Linked DNA regions of Rhinolophus ferrumequinum. The protein of the gene in region 3 interacts with the protein of the main gene of each other region in a biochemical or structural test. Links are inferred from orthologs where the notes say so. Each region holds a gene or a part of one and is shown on either strand. Other genes may lie near its edges. The genes, in order: DNM2, DNM1 and SH3GL2.

Evidence for each region.
Region 1: the proteins of SH3GL2 (region 3) and DNM2 interact in a biophysical measurement, tested with the Homo sapiens proteins (2 studies listed by BioGRID and IntAct, with this or other methods). The link is inferred for Rhinolophus ferrumequinum from reciprocal best matches to the Homo sapiens genes SH3GL2 and DNM2.
Region 2: the proteins of SH3GL2 (region 3) and DNM1 form a complex in vitro, tested with the Homo sapiens proteins (2 studies listed by BioGRID and IntAct, with this or other methods). The link is inferred for Rhinolophus ferrumequinum from reciprocal best matches to the Homo sapiens genes SH3GL2 and DNM1.

The regions. Positions count from the first base shown.
Region 1 is NC_046301.1:39,642,721-39,650,063, reverse strand, and holds the start of DNM2 (dynamin-2), read left to right. Parts: upstream 1-4,326; 5' UTR 4,327-4,473; coding exon 4,474-4,634; intron 4,635-7,343. Other genes in the region: QTRT1 (queuine tRNA-ribosyltransferase catalytic subunit 1), read left to right, coding at 86-201, 906-1,044, 1,287-1,362, 1,474-1,583, 1,700-1,787, 1,874-2,026. UniProt on the Homo sapiens protein: Catalyzes the hydrolysis of GTP and utilizes this energy to mediate vesicle scission at plasma membrane during endocytosis and filament remodeling at many actin structures during organization of the actin cytoskeleton.
Region 2 is NC_046295.1:77,124,855-77,131,762, reverse strand, and holds the start of DNM1 (dynamin-1), read right to left. Parts: upstream 3,018-6,908; 5' UTR 2,890-3,017; coding exon 2,729-2,889; intron 2,175-2,728; exon of another isoform or gene 2,101-2,174; intron 1-2,100. UniProt on the Homo sapiens protein: Catalyzes the hydrolysis of GTP and utilizes this energy to mediate vesicle scission and participates in many forms of endocytosis, such as clathrin-mediated endocytosis or synaptic vesicle endocytosis as well as rapid endocytosis (RE).
Region 3 is NC_046295.1:21,620,033-21,627,174, forward strand, and holds the start of SH3GL2 (endophilin-A1), read right to left. Parts: upstream 3,001-7,142; 5' UTR 2,834-3,000; coding exon 2,789-2,833; intron 1-2,788. UniProt on the Homo sapiens protein: Implicated in synaptic vesicle endocytosis. May recruit other proteins to membranes with high curvature. Required for BDNF-dependent dendrite outgrowth.

The DNA.
Region 1 (7,343 bases), on a different chromosome or scaffold from region 3:
GTGCGCGCGCGCGCGTGCGCGCGCACGCCAGCCTTGTCTCCCTACCCCTTCACCAGGTCCAAATTGCTAATTGGTCCTTTTGCAGATCAATCCGCTGGCTGGACCGTTGCATTGCAGCCCATCGGCGGCCGGACAAGCAAAATCTCTTCGCCATCATCCAGGGTGGGCTAGATGCGGATCTCCGGGCCACCTGCCTGGAAGGTAGAGCCATGTGCTGGCAGGACCAGGGCTTGTCACATCGCTGGGGGCCCCACAAAGGCCTGACATGCGATGGTGCTCAGACAGTGGTTGTTAATGGGTGAAACGGCACTGCAAGCGGAAGGAACAGCTGAAGCAAAGGCCCAGAGGCAGAATGGAGTAGAATGTTTGCAGAATAATAGTAATTCCAATTGCCATCAATTTTGGGGTGTTTACCAGACACTATGCCAAGTTCTGATCATGGATCTGATTAAGTTCTGACCCACTGATTTTTCATAACCATCCTGTAAGGTGGGAGCTACCACGTTCCTGAGGTTACAGAAGGGAAAACTGAGGCATAGAGCTGTTGTCACTCACCCCAAGCCAGACAGCTCGGATATTGCAGAGCTAGGATTTCGGCCCAGGCCTTGAGCTCTAGACTCTACAGCATTAATTGGTACACTGAGGGCCTGGGGAACCATGGAGGGCTGTTGAGTAGGAGTGTGATAGGAACCAATGGGGAACCATAGAAAAGTCCCAGTAGGACAGGAAGCACAAGGCCCGTGAGGAGGCTGGAGTGGGTGCCCAGAGGAAGGGTGACAGGACTACAGCAAGGCTGTGGAGATGAAGGAGAGGCAGAGATGGGGACACAGAGGGGGAGGAAGAGGAAGAAGAGGAGCAGTGTTTCCTTTTGTCTGGCCACCCCTCACCTTGCCCTGTACCCGCAGAGATGACCAAGAGGAACGTGCCGGGCTTCGCCATCGGGGGCCTGAGTGGGGGTGAGAGCAAGGGCCAGTTCTGGAGGATGGTGGCGCTGAGCACTTCGAGGTTGCCTAAGGACAAGCCCCGATACCTGATGGGGGTTGGGTATGTCCAAAAGGGGGCAGAGAGCCCCCCTTTAGGAAGTGGATTTCTGGGCACCCCCTGCCCTGTGGTATGGGGGGAAAGACAGACCTGCCTGGGAGGGGACTAAGGACGACATGGACCTCTGCTGGGGGTGGTTCTGAGGGTCTCAGTCCAGGGGGAGTCTGAGGGTCGGGAGGAGGACCTGGGTGTGTGACCAGGGCTTGAGGTACTGTGCTCGTCTCCCCCCATGGCCCCACCCCCAGCTATGCCACTGATCTGGTGGTCTGCGTGGCTCTTGGATGCGACATGTTCGACTGCGTTTTCCCCACGCGGACAGCGGTGAGGCTCTGGGCGGTTGAGGCAGGAACCTGGGGGGAGTGCCAAAGTGGGTGTGGGGGACAGGGTGAAAACATGGTTGACCTGCCTTCCCTTCCCCCTCTCCTCCCCCAGCGCTTTGGCTCTGCCCTGGTGCCCACCGGCAACCTGCAGTTGAAGAAGAAGCATTTTCAGAAGGACTTCCGCCCCATAGACCCCGAGTGTTCCTGTCCCACCTGCCAGAAGTAGGAGAGGATGGGATCTGGGGCCGGGGCGGGGGGGGGGGGGGGGGGGGGGGGGGGGGGGGAGTTGTGGAGGAGGCAGGATGCTACACTGCTGAGCCCTGACCCCCTGTCCCCAGGCACAGCCGGGCCTTTCTGCACGCACTACTCCACAGCGACAACACCGCCGCCCTGCACCACCTCACTGTTCACAACATCGCCTACCAGGTGGGCCTGTGGCTTGGGTGGGCAAGGCAGGGGTGGGGGCGGGGTCTTCAGGGCAGGCGGCTGACACTGACACCTCCACCCCATAGTTGCGGCTGATGGGAGCGGTGCGCGCCAGCATCGTGGAGAAACGCTTTCCCGACTTCGTGCGGGACTTCATGGGCACCATGTATGGGGACCCCACCCTCTGTCCCACCTGGGCCACTGAAGCCCTGGCCTCTGTGGGAATCACTCTGAGCTGACCCGGCTTGGGGGCCAGGGGGAGGGGCTGGAAGATATTGAAGGATTTGGTTTTTTATTGTAACTCAGAGTGTGTCTGTGCCTTCTTGGGGCGGTGGCCTGTATTGGTCCCATTCCTGGTCTGAGTGTCATCACGTCTGATGTCCCTTGCTTCCCTTTGATAGTAACTAATAACCATAGTAACAGCTGGTATCTGGCAACCACTTGGCACAGCCCAGTATGAAGGAAGTGGCCCAGAGTGAGAGCTGCATTCCTTTGCCCATGGCTTAGGCCCCCCAGCCACTCTAGGGGTGGGCACTTGTCCTCCCACTTTTTACAGGTGAGCAAACAGGCCCAGGGAGGGGAAGTAGCTTGCCCAAGGTCACCATTGAGGAAGTAGCAGCCTGGCTCCAGAGCTCATGCCCTTAGCCTTGTCTCTCCCAACATGTGGCTTCATCTTGTTGTCAGAAAACACAGTGATAATGACAATAGGTGTGATCTAGCAAATGCTTACACGATGCCTGACCTTGTTCTAAATGGTTGTTATGTGTATTGTATTTTTGCAACTTTATGTTGCATGAATAGCTATGTTCCTCATTTTACAGATGAAGAAACAGGTTTATGGGAATCAAGTCACTTGGTCTTTATCACCCAGCAAATAAACAGGCCCAGGATGTAACCCAGATATGGCCAATTACAGAGTTGGTGCTTTTAGAAGATAAGGGTTTTTAAATTGAAAAAGTAATACGTAGGATCCACCATTCAAATAACATAAAAATGCAACTATTTTGATCAGTTTGTGTATTCTTCCAGAAATTTTCCATGTGTACATATTTTCATGAATGTTGGTATCCTTTACACACAGTTCTTTACCTTGCTTTTTTTCCCCCTTAGTATTTTTCAAATTGTTTACATGTCAGTACATGAGGAGTTCCTCATCTTATTTATAGCTGCTGCATAGTATTTATTTAACTAGCTCCATGGATGGGCAGTTAAGAGTGTTTCCAGGTTATTCTGCTATTCTAGTCAAGGCTGCAATGCCAAATCTTGTTGGTCTCCTTTTGCCCATCTCTCTGAGACCTGAAGTTTGGGTCTTGAAGCAGTCATATACTACAGGCCGCTTGAAGCAGTCATATACTATAGGCCGCTCTGCCATCCTCCTCTCCACAGTTTCTCCGAATCAGCCCATTTTCCCACCTCCATAGCTCCTGACTCCCTACTGGGCTCTTCTGCATTCTCCGACCTCCTCAGTTTCTCTCTGATCCATCTATGCCCAGGAGGATCAAATCACTTCTTAACGTGTCTTTTCATAGACAGAAGATCCGCTGAGTTTCAATGGGTACTCAAAAAGATCATGACGCGCCGAAGTTGGGGCCGGGGAACAACGTTGGATGCCTTAGTCTCATCTAGACTGGGTGTGAGCGGAAGGTAATCCGAGGAGAGGATACAGCATTCGCATAGGCGTGGAGGTGTGACTTTATATAGGAATGAGAGTGGGAGACGACAATACAGAGCTAGACTGCCTCTTCTTAGGATCCTTAGTATCGCTGAACTCCCACCTTCGAAGCGCCCTGGAACCCCGCGCAGAGAGGTGGTTTGCAAGCCCCGGGCCGAGATGTATTCTGGGACTTGTAGTTTTATTTAGAGCCTGGCAACTCAACAAGTGCTGATCACCACCGATTTCCACCAATAAGTGTCGCCCTTCAGAGGTTTCGATGGGCCTTACCCTCTGCTCCAGAAAACTTAATAGACATACAGAATACGAGTAAGAACGGGATATTGTTGATTGACAGGTACAGTTCTCAATCAGAGTTAAGATTCGGAGGTTAAAGTCCGCCCTCTTTCGGTTTGTTGGCTAATGGAATGGAGTGATATTTTTATAAACCAATGGGAAATTTTTAGAGAACTAGGTAGCGTCAAATGACAAACGCAGGTCTAAAGGATCGATCCCTAACATCATTGGCCAGCGTTGTTGACTGGAGGATCTTCTTGCCAATAAAACTGGCGGATTTTCATGCCTCCCTCTAGCAGGCGGAGCCAACATGCCTTTTCCCGAAACACCACCTACCAGCCTTGACATCTCGGTACCCGCCTCTATTGGCTTTCGCATAACAGCGACAGTTCTAACATCCAATGAGCCCGCGAGGCGGTCCCAATGGGGAAGGCTCACTCAGCCTTAAGTCCGTGCCTCACTTTCATTGGTTCGCGCTCACAAGTGGCAGCTTGGCCGGCCAATTGAGCGTGGCGCGCGGGCTTTGGGCGCAGCCCCGAGGCCCTGGCGGGAGGTCGCTCGGGTCGGGTGTCGCCTGAGAACCGGATGAAGTGGCGACCGTGAGGCCGAGCCGGACCGGGCGTCGCGCCGAGGCCCGGGCGGGCAGGGAGCAACGGCCGCGGACGCCGCGGGGCCGTGTCGTTGAGGGCCGGGGGCGGGCGGGGAGCGCTGGGCGCTCGGGCAGGGGCTGCCGGCGCCATGGGCAACCGCGGGATGGAAGAGCTGATCCCGCTGGTCAACAAGCTGCAGGATGCCTTTAGCTCCATCGGCCAGAGCTGCCACCTGGACCTTCCGCAGATCGCCGTGGTGGGCGGCCAGAGCGCCGGCAAGAGCTCGGTGCTGGAGAACTTCGTGGGCCGGTGAGCGAGCGCGGCGGCGACCGCGGGCGGGCGGCGGCCTAGGGCGCGGAGGGCGGACCGGGAATGGCGCGCCCTGCGCCGCCGGCGTAACTGCGGCGCTTGCGTGCCTGCGGTGGGGACCGGGACTGGGAGGCGGGTCCTGTTGGACGCCCTGAGTGTAGGGCTCCCTGCGAAGGCTGGGGAGTCGGCGCAGGCCCAAGGCGGGTCTAACCGGCTGGGGGTCGGGGGGTGGGCCAGGAGCTGCGGTGGACCGCTGCCGACTCTGGTCCCCACTTTTAGTGGGTGAATTCTACCATCTGGTTGCCTGTGGGTCAGGGATAGGTCTCTCTTCTCTGTCCAAAACCTAGATATGTTTTGGGCCGACCCCTGCGGTCTGGCTGGCTGTTCATTTATCTGGAGCAGTCCCTGCTGTCTGGTTAGCTGTGTCTCTGTCCTGGATAGGCCTGCCTGCTACCACCATTTGGTTGTCCATCTGTCCAGTTCTGCAGGGCAGCCCCCTGCTGTCTGGCTCGCTGTCCAGGATGACCTGTGTAGTCTGGCCGCCCATCCGTGCCCCTCAAAGACTTTAACACTTAGCCATCCTTCTGTTGGGTTACCCCAGTTGGCCTCTGCTATCTGACTGGCTGTCTGGACCTAGGGGAGCCTGTTGTCTGGACTCTTCAGACAACCCTGGAGCCTGGCCTCACTCTTCAGTTTGGTCTCTGGCAAACACTGGCTCCTCTCTTCCAAGTGGATCTTTTAGTTCCTCTCTCCTAGTGTCTGTCCTTCTAGTCTGCCCATCAGTGCCCTTAACAGCCCCTGTCTGGCCCACCCTCTGTGGTAGGGGGTGATAGGAATTTAGAGAAGAGAAGGGAGCTGAAGGATGAGACTTGAACTACTCCCTTGTCAGTTGGAATTAGGAGTTGGGGGCGAATTTTCTCCGGGATTCTTTCCTGGCCAATGACAGGGTGTTTCAGGACCCCGGAACACAGGGGCCAGACACCAAGCTAAAGCCTGCCAATTGGGGGCCCTCTTGGAGCCTGGGAAGGGACTTCTTGTCTGATCAGGCCTCCATCTTAAGAGCTGGGATAAGGTCTTCCCAGGGCAGCCCTGAGAAGCCTCAGTTTGCCCATCTGTTCAGTGGACAGATTTCACTCTCTGTGTTATTTCGGGGATTCAGGAAGCTAATATAGAGAAGCGGTCCTGTGGCCAATGAGGTCGGTTGATTCTCCCCTCTCCCTTCTTCTGCCTCTTGCCCTTCTGCTTCCCAGATGGGCGGCCACGTTTCTATTCTGGGAAGGACTCCATTTGTGACTGGCTGTCAAATGATAATGTCATAGTCATTGTCATGATTACTGTTCCTGTTATCAGTGTGAAGGAGTAATGTTAATCCACTAGGCAACCAGGCTGAGTTCTTTCTTGGTTCAGAGTCTTGAGTTCCTTGATGAGCAAGTAGGGTGGAGGTTGTTATCCCCACCTTAGAGATGAGCAGGGAGGCTCAGAAAGGCCCGGCCATTTGCCCAAGGCCACCAGCCTGGTGCTCACTTGGAGCCCAGCTGAACATGCGGCCCCGTCTCTGCTTTCCCGGAGGCCTGGGGTTTTGTTCCCAGTGGCATGAATTTCCTCCTTTGCTGCTTTGTCTCCTGGCACTTTGCCCTCTGTCCACTGTGACAGAAAGTGTGGGTTTGGGGTCAGCTCAGCCTGGGTTGTGGGCCTCTCTGCATGGCCGTCTTCCTGCCTGCCCAGGCTTCTGGTGGGCATCTGCAAAGCTTTGTCCGTTTTAGTTGCCTTTGACTTTGCACAGGTTTTTGACCTCTTTGAGCCTTGTTTCCCCCTCCTAAAAATGGGGTGATGGTCCCTCAAGACTGTTGCAGGGATGCAGTGACATAGTATGTTGAAAGTGCTTATTTAGCATAGTACCTGGCACACAGTAGGTCTATATGGCCATTATTCACTGTGCTGGTTCCTCTCATATTGACAACAAAAGCTAATCAAAGTTAAAGTGGTCTCAAGTTTCACACTGGACTTCATTTAAGCCTTATGAGGGTGGTACTGCTATGATCCCATTTCACAGACCAGGAAGCTGAGGCTTAGAGAGCTGAGCACTTTTATTTGAGGCTGTTAAGTGAGGAATTGGGGGCTTTGAGGGGGAGAGTCTTTCTCCTCTCTCCACCTTTCTTCTGTCCCTCTGCCCCTTGCCTTTCTCTCCCATCCACGCTGGCGTCTGGTGACTGCCAGCTCCTACTGAGCTGGCTTCTGTAGCAACCTCCTCCCCTAAACCCGCAATGCGACATCCTTCATTAAGAGCATTAATTTGGGGCCTGAGAACCAAAGTTGTCAAAAGGCCTCTCTTTGGGTAGGTGTGTTCTGACAGAACTAATTTCTTTTTATTTCTGGAATGTGGGGAAGGCCCCTCAGCTACAAAGCCCTGATCCAAGGGGATGGCAGATGGACTTCACTTTGAATTGCACTCCCTACTTCTTTCTGGGCATTTGGTCAAACTGTTGTTTTGTTCTTCTCATCGTGGACCAGTACAGTGGATGTCCCACTGATTTCGAGGAACAGACAAGAGAGGGTCCAAGGTATGTGCCTGGGGGTCAGCACACGTTGCTCCATTTCAGTGCCTCCTCCTTGTGGATTTTCTAAGAATGTGGTTGGAGTGGGAATGACCCAGTTAACTTAGCCCTGTATGGGGGTTGCATATCAGTGGCCCCCGGGGGCTAAGTCTGG
Region 2 (6,908 bases), about 56 Mb from region 3:
AGGGTCCTGGGCAGCTGCTGGCCACCTCCATTGCAGAGCTGAGAACAGGGTCCTCCTGGGAGCCCGGGAGCCCAGGCCGGCCTACAGCTGCCTCTACTTCCTCTGATGCATTTTTCCACTTCCTCTCCATGGGGGATTGACTCCTGGGAAGTCCCAGGAGGCTGAGCGGCTGTTACCATGCTCACCAGTCTGGGGACCCAGCCCTAGGTAGAGAGGTCAGGAGCCCATGAGGGAGCAGGCAGGGCTTGCTGGGGGCCCCACTGAACCTTGGTTTTTCACCTGCTCTACCCTGGGCCTGCATCTGGATACCTGGTGCAGCCTCTTCCAGGGCCACCGTCAAAGAGCATTAGGGTTCGGAGAGCAGCGCAAGGGCCCAGGCCTCCTGGGCCAGAGTCCACATCCTGCACCATCACTCGACAAAGAGTTGCTGAAGTCAGCTGTGGCCGGGCTGGCCTGCTGTGCTACCTACAGACTGACACCTCTCTCTCCTGGACAGTAAACTCCAAAAGGGCAGGCAGGGGTCAGGTCTGTCCTGGCACATGCAGGCCCCCAAACCTAACTATCAATACCCGCCCCCACGTGTTGACAAAAGGACTTTTACACCCATGGACTCATTGGAGCTCCACAGCCACCGTCTCAGGAAGGCAGGGCAGCAGCCATCATTGTTCCCATCCTACAGATGGGGAAAATGGAGGCCATACCATTCCATGTCCCTGTGCTCAGTACTGGGCTTGGCTCTCAGAGGCTGTGCAAGGTCGAGACTAGGAACCTGGGCTCTGGAGTCTAATAGGCACTGTCTATGTGACCTTGGGCGAGGCATCTAACCTCAAGGTCTAGTTTCCTCATCTAGGCACCATGGTACCTGCCTCATGGGGCTGTTGTGAACCATCTTGTGAAGCATGGTGTGGGCACATGGGAAGGGCACAGAAGATGGGAGCTAAGGTCGCCTTCCCCACCAGCACCTGCCCAGAGCACACAACCTGGCACAGAGCAGGAGTTCAGCAAACATTCAATGGATGAAAGGTAGGAATGTGGTTTGTACACTGTAAAGTGCTGGATATCTATGAGTGCCATTTAAAGGGTTAAGGCCTCCAGGGTCCCTCCACCCCCACCCTCACCCCCTCATTCTGACTGCTGGCCCATCTGTGTGTCTCTTGCCTGTGTCGCTGCAGTTCTGGGGGTCACGTGAGCAGGAGGGTTCTTTGGGAGCCTTCCCTCATCCTCCACAGACAGACGGTCTCCTCCTCTGCTGACCAGATGGGCCCAGCCGCCCCCACGATGGCTTTCCAACATCCCACAGATACATCACTTCAGTCAAGACCTTTCCCTCTCCCCACTACAGTTTGCACTGGGCTTCCCAGGTCATTGGAGGGGCAGAAATAATCATCCAGTCCAACTATCCATATTAGATGGGAAACTGAAGCTCAGAGAGGGCAAGTGACTGGCCAGAGGTTTCACAGCAAAACCTGATTTGGACCCAGGATGTCTCTCCCCAGAACTGCTGTTCCTCAGAGGGAGGGGCCTCTACCTTCCTCTCCCACATTGCCAGTGGCTTCCTTAGCCATGAAGGTCATTGGAAGAAAGCTAGGGTTTCTGAAGGTGAGGGAGAGAGACGACAGAGTGGAGAGGTCAGTGTCAATTCTCCGGCCTCCAACCTCAGTCTGCCCAGCCCCCATCCAGCCTCCAGCACCAGGAGAGCGCCATCCTCTCTCTCTCTCCTTCTCAGTACCCCAAAAAGCCATTTCTGCCTCCCCTATCTTGAGGGAACTTGGGGGGGTCACAACACTGCCTGTCCCTCTAAACCCAGGACCTTCTGTCTTTGTGGTTGCCCCCCACTCGCTGCCACCTGGCCCTTCCAGCGCCTTGTGGGATCAAAGGCAGAAGGAGGATTAGGTTCTGCAAATGGCTCCCCCCTCCCCGCCATCCTGCCTCCCTGTCTTAGTCATCTCTGCCCTCCACTGCCTTCTCCCTCCATTACAATCCCTCTGCCAGACCAAGGGGAGAACGACTTTGACAGACGTCCTCCACCCAGGGGCGGCGGCAGAATAAGGGGCCGGCTGCTCATAAAAGGATCAGAAGCAGTTTCTCCCCCACCCCCCTTCCCTTCCTCATCCTGCAGCCCGCGCCTCCCCCCACGGCCGCGCTGCGCACGGATGGCGGCGGGAGCCGCAGAGGTGTGTGTGTGAGAGGGGGTAGGCTGTGCCTGGTCCTTGATGCCCACAGAGCTATGTCCTCTACCAGGGGCTATGGGGGGTGTCCCCTACCACTGTCCAGGAATTCCCATGGGGGGAGGGAGCTGTCCTCCGTAGAGCCTAGGGGTAGGGGGCCCTGCCCCGGGGGTGTTGCCCCTCCAAGGTACTCCTGGAGGGAGTCGGAGGGAGCCACTGAGTAATTCAAGGCCCCTCGGTGCCCTTGTGAGGTATCGGGGGACAACCCTGTGTAAGGGTCTCCTGGCAGAGCGCTGTCTTCCCAAACGGATGGGGCGGAGGAGGGGGCGTGATACAGTAGCTGGTGGCCTGACGCCGCTCGTGGACAAGCGGGGGGCGCTGCCGCCTCTGAGGGGCTCTCGTGGAGGAGGAGGGCCACCTCCCTCTGGCTGGAGGTGGGGGGCGCACGGTCGCGGGTGCAGCGCCAGGGGCTGTGAGGTCGCGGCGCCGTCGGAGCCGGGGGCGGAGGCCCAGGGGACCCAGGTGTAGGGAGTGCGCGCTCCGGGGAGCGCCTCTCCTACCTGCCAACGAAATTCTCCAACACAGAGCTCTTGCCGGCGCTCTGGCCTCCCACCACGGCGATCTGCGGCAGGTCGAGGTCCGCGTTCTGGCCAATGGCGGAGAAGGCGTCCTGCAGCCGGTTGACCAGCGGGATGAGATCTTCCATGCCGCGGTTGCCCATGGCTGCGGCGGGCCCCGAGGGCTGCGATCTGGCCGCCGCTTCGGCTCCGGGCTCCGGCTCCGCCGCAGCAGCCGCGCGCTCCGACTGCCTGCGCCTCGGGCCCCCCGCCCCTCCAGGATTGGAGGGGAGCGTGTCCCGGACTGCCGCCAGAGGGCGCCCGCGGCGCTGCAGTCCGGCCGCCGTGCGCAGGCGCCGTCAGCGGCCCCATGGGGATTGCAGTTTTCTCTTTCTGCGGGTTTTGGGGAGCTTGAGCCAGCCGTGTGTGGGAATGTGGATAATGCGCCGAAGAGGTCATTCTGAAATGGGTGAGGGTCTCACCCCCTGGTACCGGGCCTCTTGGATAGTGGTCATGGCTGCCTCACTTCATCTTATAGATAGGGAAACTGAGGCTTGGCGAGAAAATGGCATCCTCCAAGGGCACAGTCTCCTGACCAGGAGTTCAATTTGGCCTCACTGCCTTTTACTCTTAAGTTCTCACACTAATTCATCTCCAGCATGTCCCTTTGGGCCTCACTTTCTCTGTTTCTAGAAGGAGAAATATAGAACATTAATTCAACAGATATTTACTGAGCACCTACTGTGTGGCGGGCCTGTCCTAGGCACTGGAGATACAGCAATGAACAACACAGACAAGGTGTCTCATAGATCTTACATCCAGGTGGCAGAGACAGACAGTCAATGATTGACTACACAGATCAATGAAATAGCAAAAGTGAAAAAAAGTTTATACTAAGAACAATGGAGGAAATAAACGGGTTGTGAAAAGAGGTAACTGTGTGGGTATGAAAAATCCACTTTAGCTTGGGAGGAGTCATGGGGATTCTCTGAGGAGGTGACATTTGAGAAGAGACCTAAATGATGAGAAGCCAGCCAGCCACAGCCAGATCAGGCCCTATCCTAGGAGCCTGGCCTGGGCCTTAGACAAGCTGTATCACCCAGGTCCCTCCACGTCTCTAAGCCTCAGTTATCTAATCTGGGTAATGGGGATAACGATAGATTAGAAATGCCTGTGAAGGGCATGGACCTGGCCTGGCGCTCAAGAGACTTTTACTACACCCTGCTTGCAGGATGCCGATGCTGACAGCCCTCGAGACAGTTGGAGCATCAGCCACCCACAACACCCCTCCTGAGCAGCTGCTTCAAGCCAGCCTGGTAACCATGTTTCCCCGAAAAAAAAGACCTAACCGGAAAATAAGCCCTAGCATGATTTTTCAGGATGACATCCCCTGAACACAAGCCCTAATGCATCTTTTGGAGCAAAAATTAATATAAGACCCTGTCTCATTTTCAGGGAAACACAGTTATTATGCTCTGAGAACCAGAGAGGAAGCCTGGAGTACAGTCATTAATTTGAGGAGGGGCTGCAGTTTGCAGATGTCTACCTAGAGGGGCACCGTCATGGCTGGGTTGTTTTTCCTAATTACGATAGTGAAACTTATTGTAAAAATCAGCCTTTACACAGTATTTGAAAACTTCTGGTCATCCTCCCACCCAGAGATAATCAGTCTTTATAACTTAGTGTTTATTCTCTGGCTTTTTGCATATGTATTCACTTTGTTTTCTTTTGTTTTTACAGAAGTGGAATCTTATACATCCTGTCCTGCTGAATCACTGATGCCAGACCAGCAGCCTGGGCATGACCTACTCAGAAATGCAGAATCTCAAGCCCCACTTATAACCTGCTGGATCACAACCTGAATTTCATAAGAACCAAGTGCCCCAGAAGATTCCTATGCACTTCAACGTTGGAGAAGCTCTGCAACTTGCTTTTTTAGTAACGGTATGTGTTTGACCTGTTTCAATGTAAGAACCAACAGATCGGTCATGGTTCTTGTTCACGGCTGCATAGTTTTCCAGTTTGGCAGTGCCCTGTTTTTGTTTCCTGGTCTGCTAAAAATGGATGTGCTAGGCTTGAAGAATGGATGAATAAAATGCCACTGTGGGATGTAGAGAAGGGTTGATGTTCTGGATAGAGGAACCAGTATAAGCGAAGGTATGGAATCAGAAAGGAAATGAACCTGAAATCTACCCTGGCCTCAGTTTCCCACAGATTTTGGTGAGGACTGAAGAAGTGCTACTGTAGAAGGTTCTCCCCAGGCACTGAGAAGCTGGGGGCTCTGAGGGCCAATAAATTAAATGAGTCTTAGAAATGGCTTTGACTCTCTCTTTTGAGCACCCAAGAGGGAGAATTCTCTCTGGACCTCCTGCAGCTTTAACCACTAACGGCTAGGCAGGTTTACAATAGGAACATTCACTGGGCATTTCCTCTCCACCAGGTTACTCTGCTGAGAGATTCAACCCTCAGGAGGGAGAAGTTTTTTTTTTTTTTTTTAGATTTTATTGGGGAGGGGAACAGGACTTTATTGGGAACAGTGTGTACTTCCAAGCCTGTTTTTCCAAGTCAAGTTGTTGTCCTTTCAATCTTAGTTGTGGAGGGTGCCGTTCAGCTTCAAGTTGTTCTTTCAGTCTTAGTTGTGGAGGGCGCAGCTCAACTCCAGGTCCAGTTGCCGTTTTCTAGTTGCAGGGGGCACAGCCCACCATCCCTTGCGGGCGACGAACCGGCAACCTTGTGGTTGAGAGGACGCACTCCAACCAACTGAGCCATCCAGGAGCTCAGCGGCAGCTCAGCTCAAAGTGCCGTGTTCAATCTTAGTTGCAGAGGGTGGAGCCCACCATCCCTTGCGGGACTCGAGGAATTGAACTGGCAACCTTGTGGTTGAGAGCCCACTGGCCCATGTGGGAATCAAACCGGCAGCCTTCGGAGTTAGGAGCATGGAGCTCCAACCGCCTGAGCCACCGGGCCGGCCCCGAGAAGTTTTTATTAGTTCCTTTTGACAGATGAGGAAACCGAGGCACAAAGGGGTTCATGAGGAATGAGTCTAAGGTCACAAAGCCAGGAAGTGATAGAGTGAAGATGTGAATGGAGGTCGTCAGACTCAGAGCTTCCACATTTCTATCCTACACTACACCAGCTCTTGTAACCTATATATATTTTAGTGCACATAAAACAGTAGCCCTTTCTGATAGGGTTTCTGTTGTGCATACAGTAGGTGCTCAGTAAATGCTGGTTATATTGAATTGAACAGTGGCCTTCTTATACAGCTCGTCGGTCAAGCCATTATATTTAGTCACAGGGTCTGATCAGGGTCTGGGCCCTTTGGGTTCATTTGTTCATTTATTCTTCAACAGGTTATTGATCAGTGACTACTTCATGCCAGACCTCAAGCAAGACATAGGGGGATGAAGAGGTTAATAAGATGTAGGACAGGTCCTTCTAGAATGGATTCACTGGGGAGAGAAAGACAAGCTAAGCAGACCAGGTGCATAGGGCAATGGCACCTGGCCCAGTCTGGGGCAAGGTCACTGCTGAGGGAGCAGCTGAGCCAGGCTGGGCCACATCCCCTCCTCTGCATGGCTGGGGACTGGGCACCAAGATTTCCCAGGGGCTTTTGGGCACTGATGGTCCAAGCATCTGTGCTTGCAGCATCCCATCTTATAGTGAGGTGCTCCCCATGAGCCTGGAATAAGGCAGGTACCCTTGTGTGCTGATGGTTAGGTACATATGATTCAACGGCACAGCTGGAAAGCTGGCCTGGCTGGTGTTCAAATCCCACCTCTGCCGCTTTCTAACCTGATGACTTTAGGCAAGTCGCTTCACCTCCCTGACCCTCAGTTTCTTCAGTAAAAAGGGGATAATAATATTACCTAACTCTTACATACAATGGAATATTACTCAGCCATAAACAAGAAGGAAATCTTACCATTTGTGACAACATGGATGGACCTAGAGGGTATTATGCTAAGGGAAATAAGTCAGACTGAGAAAGACAAATATCGTGTGATCTCACTTATATGTAGAATCTAAAGAAAAGAAACAAAGAAACAAAACAGAAAAAGAAAATGCTACCTAACTCATAGAGCTGTGCAAGGAGGGTTTTGTGATGTCATAATAATTCAGGTAGAACATGAAAATGGTGCATGGTACAGTGAATAATTAGAACTATGATGCAATTATAAGC
Region 3 (7,142 bases):
AGTATTAGTATTTTATCAGGCAAAAGCTTTTCTTTCACTTCCAAACAGCTGAGCTATTGAAAACAGCTGTCAGCAACAAGGTAGAAATCATCAGTTCTAAACCAAAACAGTTGTGATACATATCAGAGATTTCAAATCAGTGGGCAAACACTAAAGTTATACTGCTTTATTGATACCAATATCATTCCTCACTAACATAAGCAAAAACTCAATTTCATAGAAACAGGAGAAATGCTTGTTTCTATGAAGAGAGGAAGAGAGGTCATCCACTTCGAAACATAGGCTACCTAATCCAGCATATCTATTCTCAAAAGGAAATAATTCTAGTTCTACAGCTTCCTCTGCAGATAAGATCAGGTTCGTGCGCTACATGGGGGAAATGGATTAAAAAGTGAACTATGGCTGTGTCCCCTAATGTCTGTGTCACATGCAAATATTAGTACTGGCTTTACACGCCCTTCGAAATACACATACATGCACAGGAAGAATAACCTTTGCCCTGGGCTTCCTAAGACTGTGCAATACTAAGCAATGAATAAGAGATTGTGCGTTGTCTCACCTTTAAAATGAAAGGCTTTTCAGTAAAAAGAAGAAAATGATGCAGTGATTCTGCATCTAAATTCAGTGTGATAAGTACTGATCTTATCACAAGCAGGCCTCCTCCAATGATCTAAGAAGTTATTTCACATCACAATTCCAATTCTGTATTCAGAATATTAAGAGCTACATATAATTTCAAGATTAACCTGACATGGAGCCTTCTGATTATTTCTGTTAAGTAGCAAAGCTAAAAATTCTATAATTTCCTCATGTCTCATTACCAATGGAAGGCACAGTATTTTATCCTAATAAAATTATCCTTAATGTTAATAGCATTTATTGCACACTTTCTGTATGTGTTCTACAAACTCATTTATGTTCACATCAACTCTAAGAAATAGGTAATTACATCATTTTATAAAGGACAGACTCAGAAGTTAAATAACTTGCTCAAGGTCACAGACAGCAGATGAGGGGTCAAGCCTTAGTCTTTCCTACTCTAAAGCCAAGGTTCCTAACTGCCATTTAGGACAACACTAATCTCCAAAGAAAGTCCTGAGAATCAGCGTGAAGAAAGGATGTGGTACTGGTAAATTCAACGCGGTGGTCTGTTTTACAGGAATGACAAGTACCCGAAATAAAAATGGTTTGTGACATCAAAGAAGTCCTGCCTGAGAATTTATGGGCAGCGCATACGCTGGTTCTCTGAAGGAATTTGGGTATAAAGTTATGAGAGACCTTCCAAATTACACCAACAATACATTTATATTTACAACATTTCTGGCAGAGAGGTTTCAGAAAGATCCAATTTGAAAAGCAAAGATGATTGCATTGACGGGCATTTTTTACTGCAACTGTCTTAATTTCTTCTATTTCCTAAATCGACAGAAATAACTGGTTCTATAAAGGCAAGTCTGTGGTGACAGAGATAGCACGTGGGTGCACAGATGAATTTCATGCTGCATCTGTCACCGTAACTTAACCAAGATTCTGTAAAACACAACCCTTACCTTCCTGGATGTGGTTTATAATAGGACTGTTACTGTAGTAGCCTGGGGAAAACCTCACTACTTCTGAGGAATTATGAGAAAGCTCAATATTAAGGCTAACCTATGAAAAAAAATACTTAAGACTAAATTATGAGAAACATTTAAAGAAATCAACAAAGCCCTTAGGCTAAAGATCCCTTAAACTCAAACTGTTTCAGAAGAATAAAAAAAAAATAGTAACCATATTCATTATATAAGAAATAGGTCACATTATAAGTATTATTTCCCTATATAAAACTCTTCAACCAAGCCCAATGAGATTTAAATTATTAGAATCTGAATTAATAAATTTTATTTTAATCACAGCTTATTAACCCCATAGAGAAAGATAGCCATATCCAAAATGTGAAAAGCTCACTAAAAATAAAATTTTAAAGATTTTAAAAATTAGTTATGTTAAGGCTGCAACATCCTTTGGGAAATTTTTTTTTAAGTTTACTGGGGTGACAATTGTTAGTAAAGTTATATAGATTTCAGGTGTATAATTCTGTAATACATCATCTATATATATGTGGTGATGGAAAGAAAACTGACTGTGTGGTGAACACACAATGTGATATATATGGACATTTTTTAAGACATGCAGACTGCTGGTCAACCTTCTACCTCAAAGCGATTTGACGACCGACTTCCCTAAGGAAAAGTTAATGCCTGAGCTTTCCAGAGGAAGCCCCATCTGCCCATTCCTCTGAGCCTGTAGAGGACCAAGGAAGTAGGGTTTCAGAGATCACAGGGGAGAAGCCCAAACCGCGGACATCTCCGCAGCCTCCTCCAGTGCGGGCCACCGCTCGTGCCAGCACATCCCGGGACAGCCCGGCGCACCGACACCGCAAGGTCACGGGGGAAAGAGGCGACTTTACATAATCTCCTGCCGCGCCGCCCCGACACCTGCAAGCCCGGGTCTCCTCCCGGTAGCGGCTGCGCTGGGAGGTGCGGAGGCGGCGCGCGGGGAGCCTAGGTGGGACGCCGGGGACCCGCGGGCGCCCGCCAAGCCGCACTGAGCCGGGGGTGGGAAACCGATGGGCGGGTTTCCAGCGCGGGGATGCCGAGGCGGGCGGAGCGGGCGCTGCGGGGCGCGGCCGGGGCGGGCTCGGCGCAGGCAAGGGTCCCCACGCTCCCGGGCAGCTGCAAGCGCGGAGTGCGAGCCCCTCGCAGCTCCGCCCGGGACCGCCCCGCGCCGCACCTGTCACGCGCCTTACCTGAGTGGCTTTATGGAATTGCTTCTTGAGTCCGGCCACCGACATGGTGCGGGAGGACGCGCGGAGGCGGGCGACTGCTGGTGCTAGAAGGCAGCGGCAGCAGAGCGGGACGGGAGGGCCAAGCCGGGCGGCGCGCTCGTCGTGCCGCCGCCGGGGCTGTGGGCGCGGGGGCGCGGAGCGGCGCGGGACGCGGGCTGGTGCGGAGAGACACCCTGACGTCAGGGGCGGGTGATGCGGCCTCTTAAAGGGGACGCGGGAAGCCCCGCCCCGGGCGTTGGGCCGCAGGCAGGTGCCTTGGCACCCGCTACCTGGGCACGGGCGTCGGACGAGCGGATCTGGCTCCACGGCTCCCACGGGCGCCAGTTAAGGAGGAGGGCCAAGGGCGTTCTCCTGCCCCGGGAGTGTCGTGCGTACCCCAACAGGCTGAGGACGGGACCCTGCAGCTTGGTAGCCCAGGCACTGGGCACGACTCAGGTGACTTGCTTGGCTTCCAGGTAGCTGGGGCGGCGTTGCCTGCCCTTTGACCCTGCCCTCTCTGCAGCCTAGAAAGAAGGAGTGGCGTTCTATCTGGGGTAATGAATAAGTCATTGCTCTTTCTGTGACATGCCCCGTTTGACTGGTTACAGAAAACATTTCTTTGCCATCGTTTCAATATCCTTTAAACCTACATAACGTTAGGAAATACCACCACCGACTCCCTTTCTTTTTGTGTGTGTGTTTTTTGCATGTTTGGTCTGATACAACTTAACGACTTAAAAATAACAAAAAATTTTAAAAACCTTAAAGTTGGGGGATAAATAAAATTGAAGTGGGCTATTACTGTAGTAATAGTATTTAATCCTGGTTACAGATATGGAAGAGATCGAATATAAACTTGGCTTTCACTTATGATAGTAGATTTCAGATTTTCAATCTAAAATAAGCATTATATAATGTGAAAAAGCATGATGATACTAAGCTGTACAAATACTACATATGTAACAAAGTATCTATGGCTAGGCTAAAGGGAAACTTTGGTAGAATTCAAATAGTTAGTAGCAGAGCAGCACTACCTGTTTTCTATGTTCTGGTAATTCGCCACTTCTTCTGGTTTTTCTAGGACTGAGGAGCACATAGGGAAGAACTTGAATGCTGTCCCCAGGTAGGAACCAAAGTTATAAGGGGGAGAAGTCAGAGTGACAGAAGCCAAGATGAAAGACATTGCCAAGGATAAATAAGAAAACAGCATGGCAGAAGGAGTACTAGGAATACCTTGCCTCCACAACCCCTGCTGCCTGCAAGGAACCATAGACCCCACCTCCACCCTTCTAGCCAAGCTGCTTGGTCACAGGGTAAACAGGTGATACAACGGGGTCCTGACCATCGGCTGAGCTACCAGTCATAGTCCTTGATAATGTGGACTCAAACACCTAAAAGAAGAGTCGAGCAGATAGTGGTAGATAACAGAGAAGTAAGAGCACACAGACTTGTGACCCAGTCTCCAGAGAGAATCAGACAAAAGCAGCAAATGTCCAATGTGGTTGTCATTACTGATGTCCATGTACCTTCCAGATACATACATGGTAGAACTGCATTTTCCACATATTTTATGGTTAAATGGAGGCACTGTGACAAGCTTTCATTAGTGAATTAGGAAGAAAAGTGACTGTCACTTCTTGGCATAGAGTTTAATTGTTGGGATGAGATGCTACAAAGCTCTCTTTTCACTCTGCAACAATATTCTAAATAGTTGTGGTCTGTCAAACAGAATCCACTGTGAAAAGGAAGTAGAGCAAAGTCCCCAGTTGATGTCCAAGAGATGTTCAGTATGAGTGAGACATAAACCTGAGTAATTTTAATCCACAGAGTCTGGAGTTGTTACTGTGGCAGAACTGGCCCACCTGACTGATGCATAGACAGAACATGCTTTCCCATTGCCCGAAAGATGAAGGAACATTTTCCAGTTCTTGCCATTGCCCACTTGTATTTTACTTTTTGTCATCAGATGTCCATGAAGTAAGTTGTCCATTTTATTCTTACAAAAAGCATCAGTGAAGTGTGAGGAGGTGTCTTCTCTTTTTTTTGCAGTCTCACTGAAGCAGTGGGCAGACTCGCCCCTTGGCCTGAGGGTCAGAGGGAATGGTGACTCCATGCCCCGACCCTCTTACCCTGCATTTTCCTTAGCAGCTAGGGAGGGGGAAGTGTGAGCTCTTCCATTCTAAAGGCATGTCGGGCAAGGGGCAATCAGTGTCTCAGAAAAGCATTTGACAGGGAAAGATGACAGTCCTGCCTATAGATAGGTGGGGCTACTGACTCATCAAAGTCTAGGACAAACCATTAAAGTGACCTGACTGAGGACCCATGAGGTGGTATGCCCAGGGCGACTTACACCTGTGGTGATCATCATGGTGATTCCCAGGTTCCTGACCTTAGGAAACTGCAAGACTTTGGACTTAATGCATGAGTAGGTGGAGCTCTAGGTGGGAAGATTTGGGGGTTAGTGTCACAATGACTGCTTTTGTACTCTAACAGTTTGGTGAAGCCAGCGTATGCCTACACACAACACACACACGAAAAGACCGTAAAATGGTAATAATAGTCATGCTGCTGGAGCAGTTCTCAAACTTCAGGGTGCCTCAGAATCCCTTGCAGGACTTTTAAAGCACGAATTGCTGAGCCACATCCCTAGTTTCTGATTCACTAGGTCTGGGTGGGGGCCAAGACTGTGCATTTCTGACAAGTCCCCAGGCGATGCTAACGCTCTGGTCTGGGGACCACACTTTGAAAACCAGCGGATCTTAGTAGAGCTTTTAGGACTGAACTTTTTTTTTTCTATTCTCTCAATTTTTAAAATGTTTTCCCATTAATTGTATAATAGAAAAGTTTTTTTTATAGTTAATTTTTCCTAACTGGTCTCTGATCTGAAAAACGGGACATTTTCATAGACGTATGGGCCTTGATTGAAACTGCGAAGAGAGAGAGCAACTAATGTACAAAGTGGGAGGGCCTGGGATTCCTGAGCGCTGCTCCCTAACTGTGAAAGGTGTGAAATGAGGACCGAGAGTCTCCTTGGGACTTTGAATACTTAACCCTAAATCAAACAAAAGCAAGTCTCTATCTTTTCTTGGTTCTTCATCCACCAACTTAGAAGGCTCATCCTGCTATACATCAAAGAAAGTACCTTGGGAGGAAGAACGATCTGAGGAATTTTAAATCCTTTTGAAACCATGGTTAATTCTCCCAGGTATCCTCTGGGTCTCATGTAAATCCTGCATTTCTGCTGAAGCCATAGTTTACACCTATAAAGATATTTTAGATGTTACCCTTGAAAGAGATTTGTTGAGTTCCTCCTACTAGCGGGAATCATGGTAGAAGGTTTGGAGGTGGTCAGGTGAGATGCCAAGACAAGTATGGACTGGACCTTGAACCCCAAGGGGTTTCCAGGCCAGTAATTCAGAAAATGCTTCCTGTAGACAGTTACTGTGACTTGAATACAGACGGATGAATGCACTAGACTGAAAATTTTTCAAACATGAGTGCCCTCTTTGGTTGCACAGAAGCTGTGACAGAGGCTCTATGGAGAATTGCGGCAGCACAATATAGGGAAAGAGGGACCTAAGGTCAGCGAGTCAGAACTTTGTTTCATAAGAGGTGGTTGCAATTCAACATGCTGCCCTCTCCTCTCTTGAGATCAAATCAATGTACAATGGTAAATAAACCTAGATCTGCTTTTAAAAGTTCCAATTAGATAAAACCCCTACACAGCACCACCTCACAGATCTGGCAGAAAGTTCATGGTCAGCAATAATTCCATCACATCGTTCATGCACTATTTCTCCTTGCATTATAAGAAAGCTCTGGCAAATACCAGACTTTTAGTTTGCACAGAACCACTGCATCCCTGGCACCTTTCAGAGGACTTCTCCAAGGACACAGACAACAAGCAGCAGCTCTCATCTTTTTGCCCTTCAGCCCCTGACACCTCTCCTCTGGCCCACACCAGGGCAAACTACGCCTGACTTTATGTGTAAGCTCATTAAGTGCAAGAAACACAGCAAAGCAAAGGCATTAAATCCCAATTTTGTGTTTTACCGTTGAGAAACAGAAGCAATGAAAGGAAGTGTCTTATTCATTGTTATTTTTACTTCCACTGTTAGCCTCAATTCAGAGCAGAGTCTCCATTCTGTGTTAATGCACACAGATGGGAAGGCATGAATGAAAGATTGAACAATTTATCACTGTCACTGATGCCATATTCTTGCCACACTGGGTCTGATGTTTCAAAGCCTTCACCCACCATCCCTGTATGAAAGCATGGATTGTGCAGGACCCAGACAGGTGTTCATAAGATTTGGTGCCTTTGGATGCTGCCAGT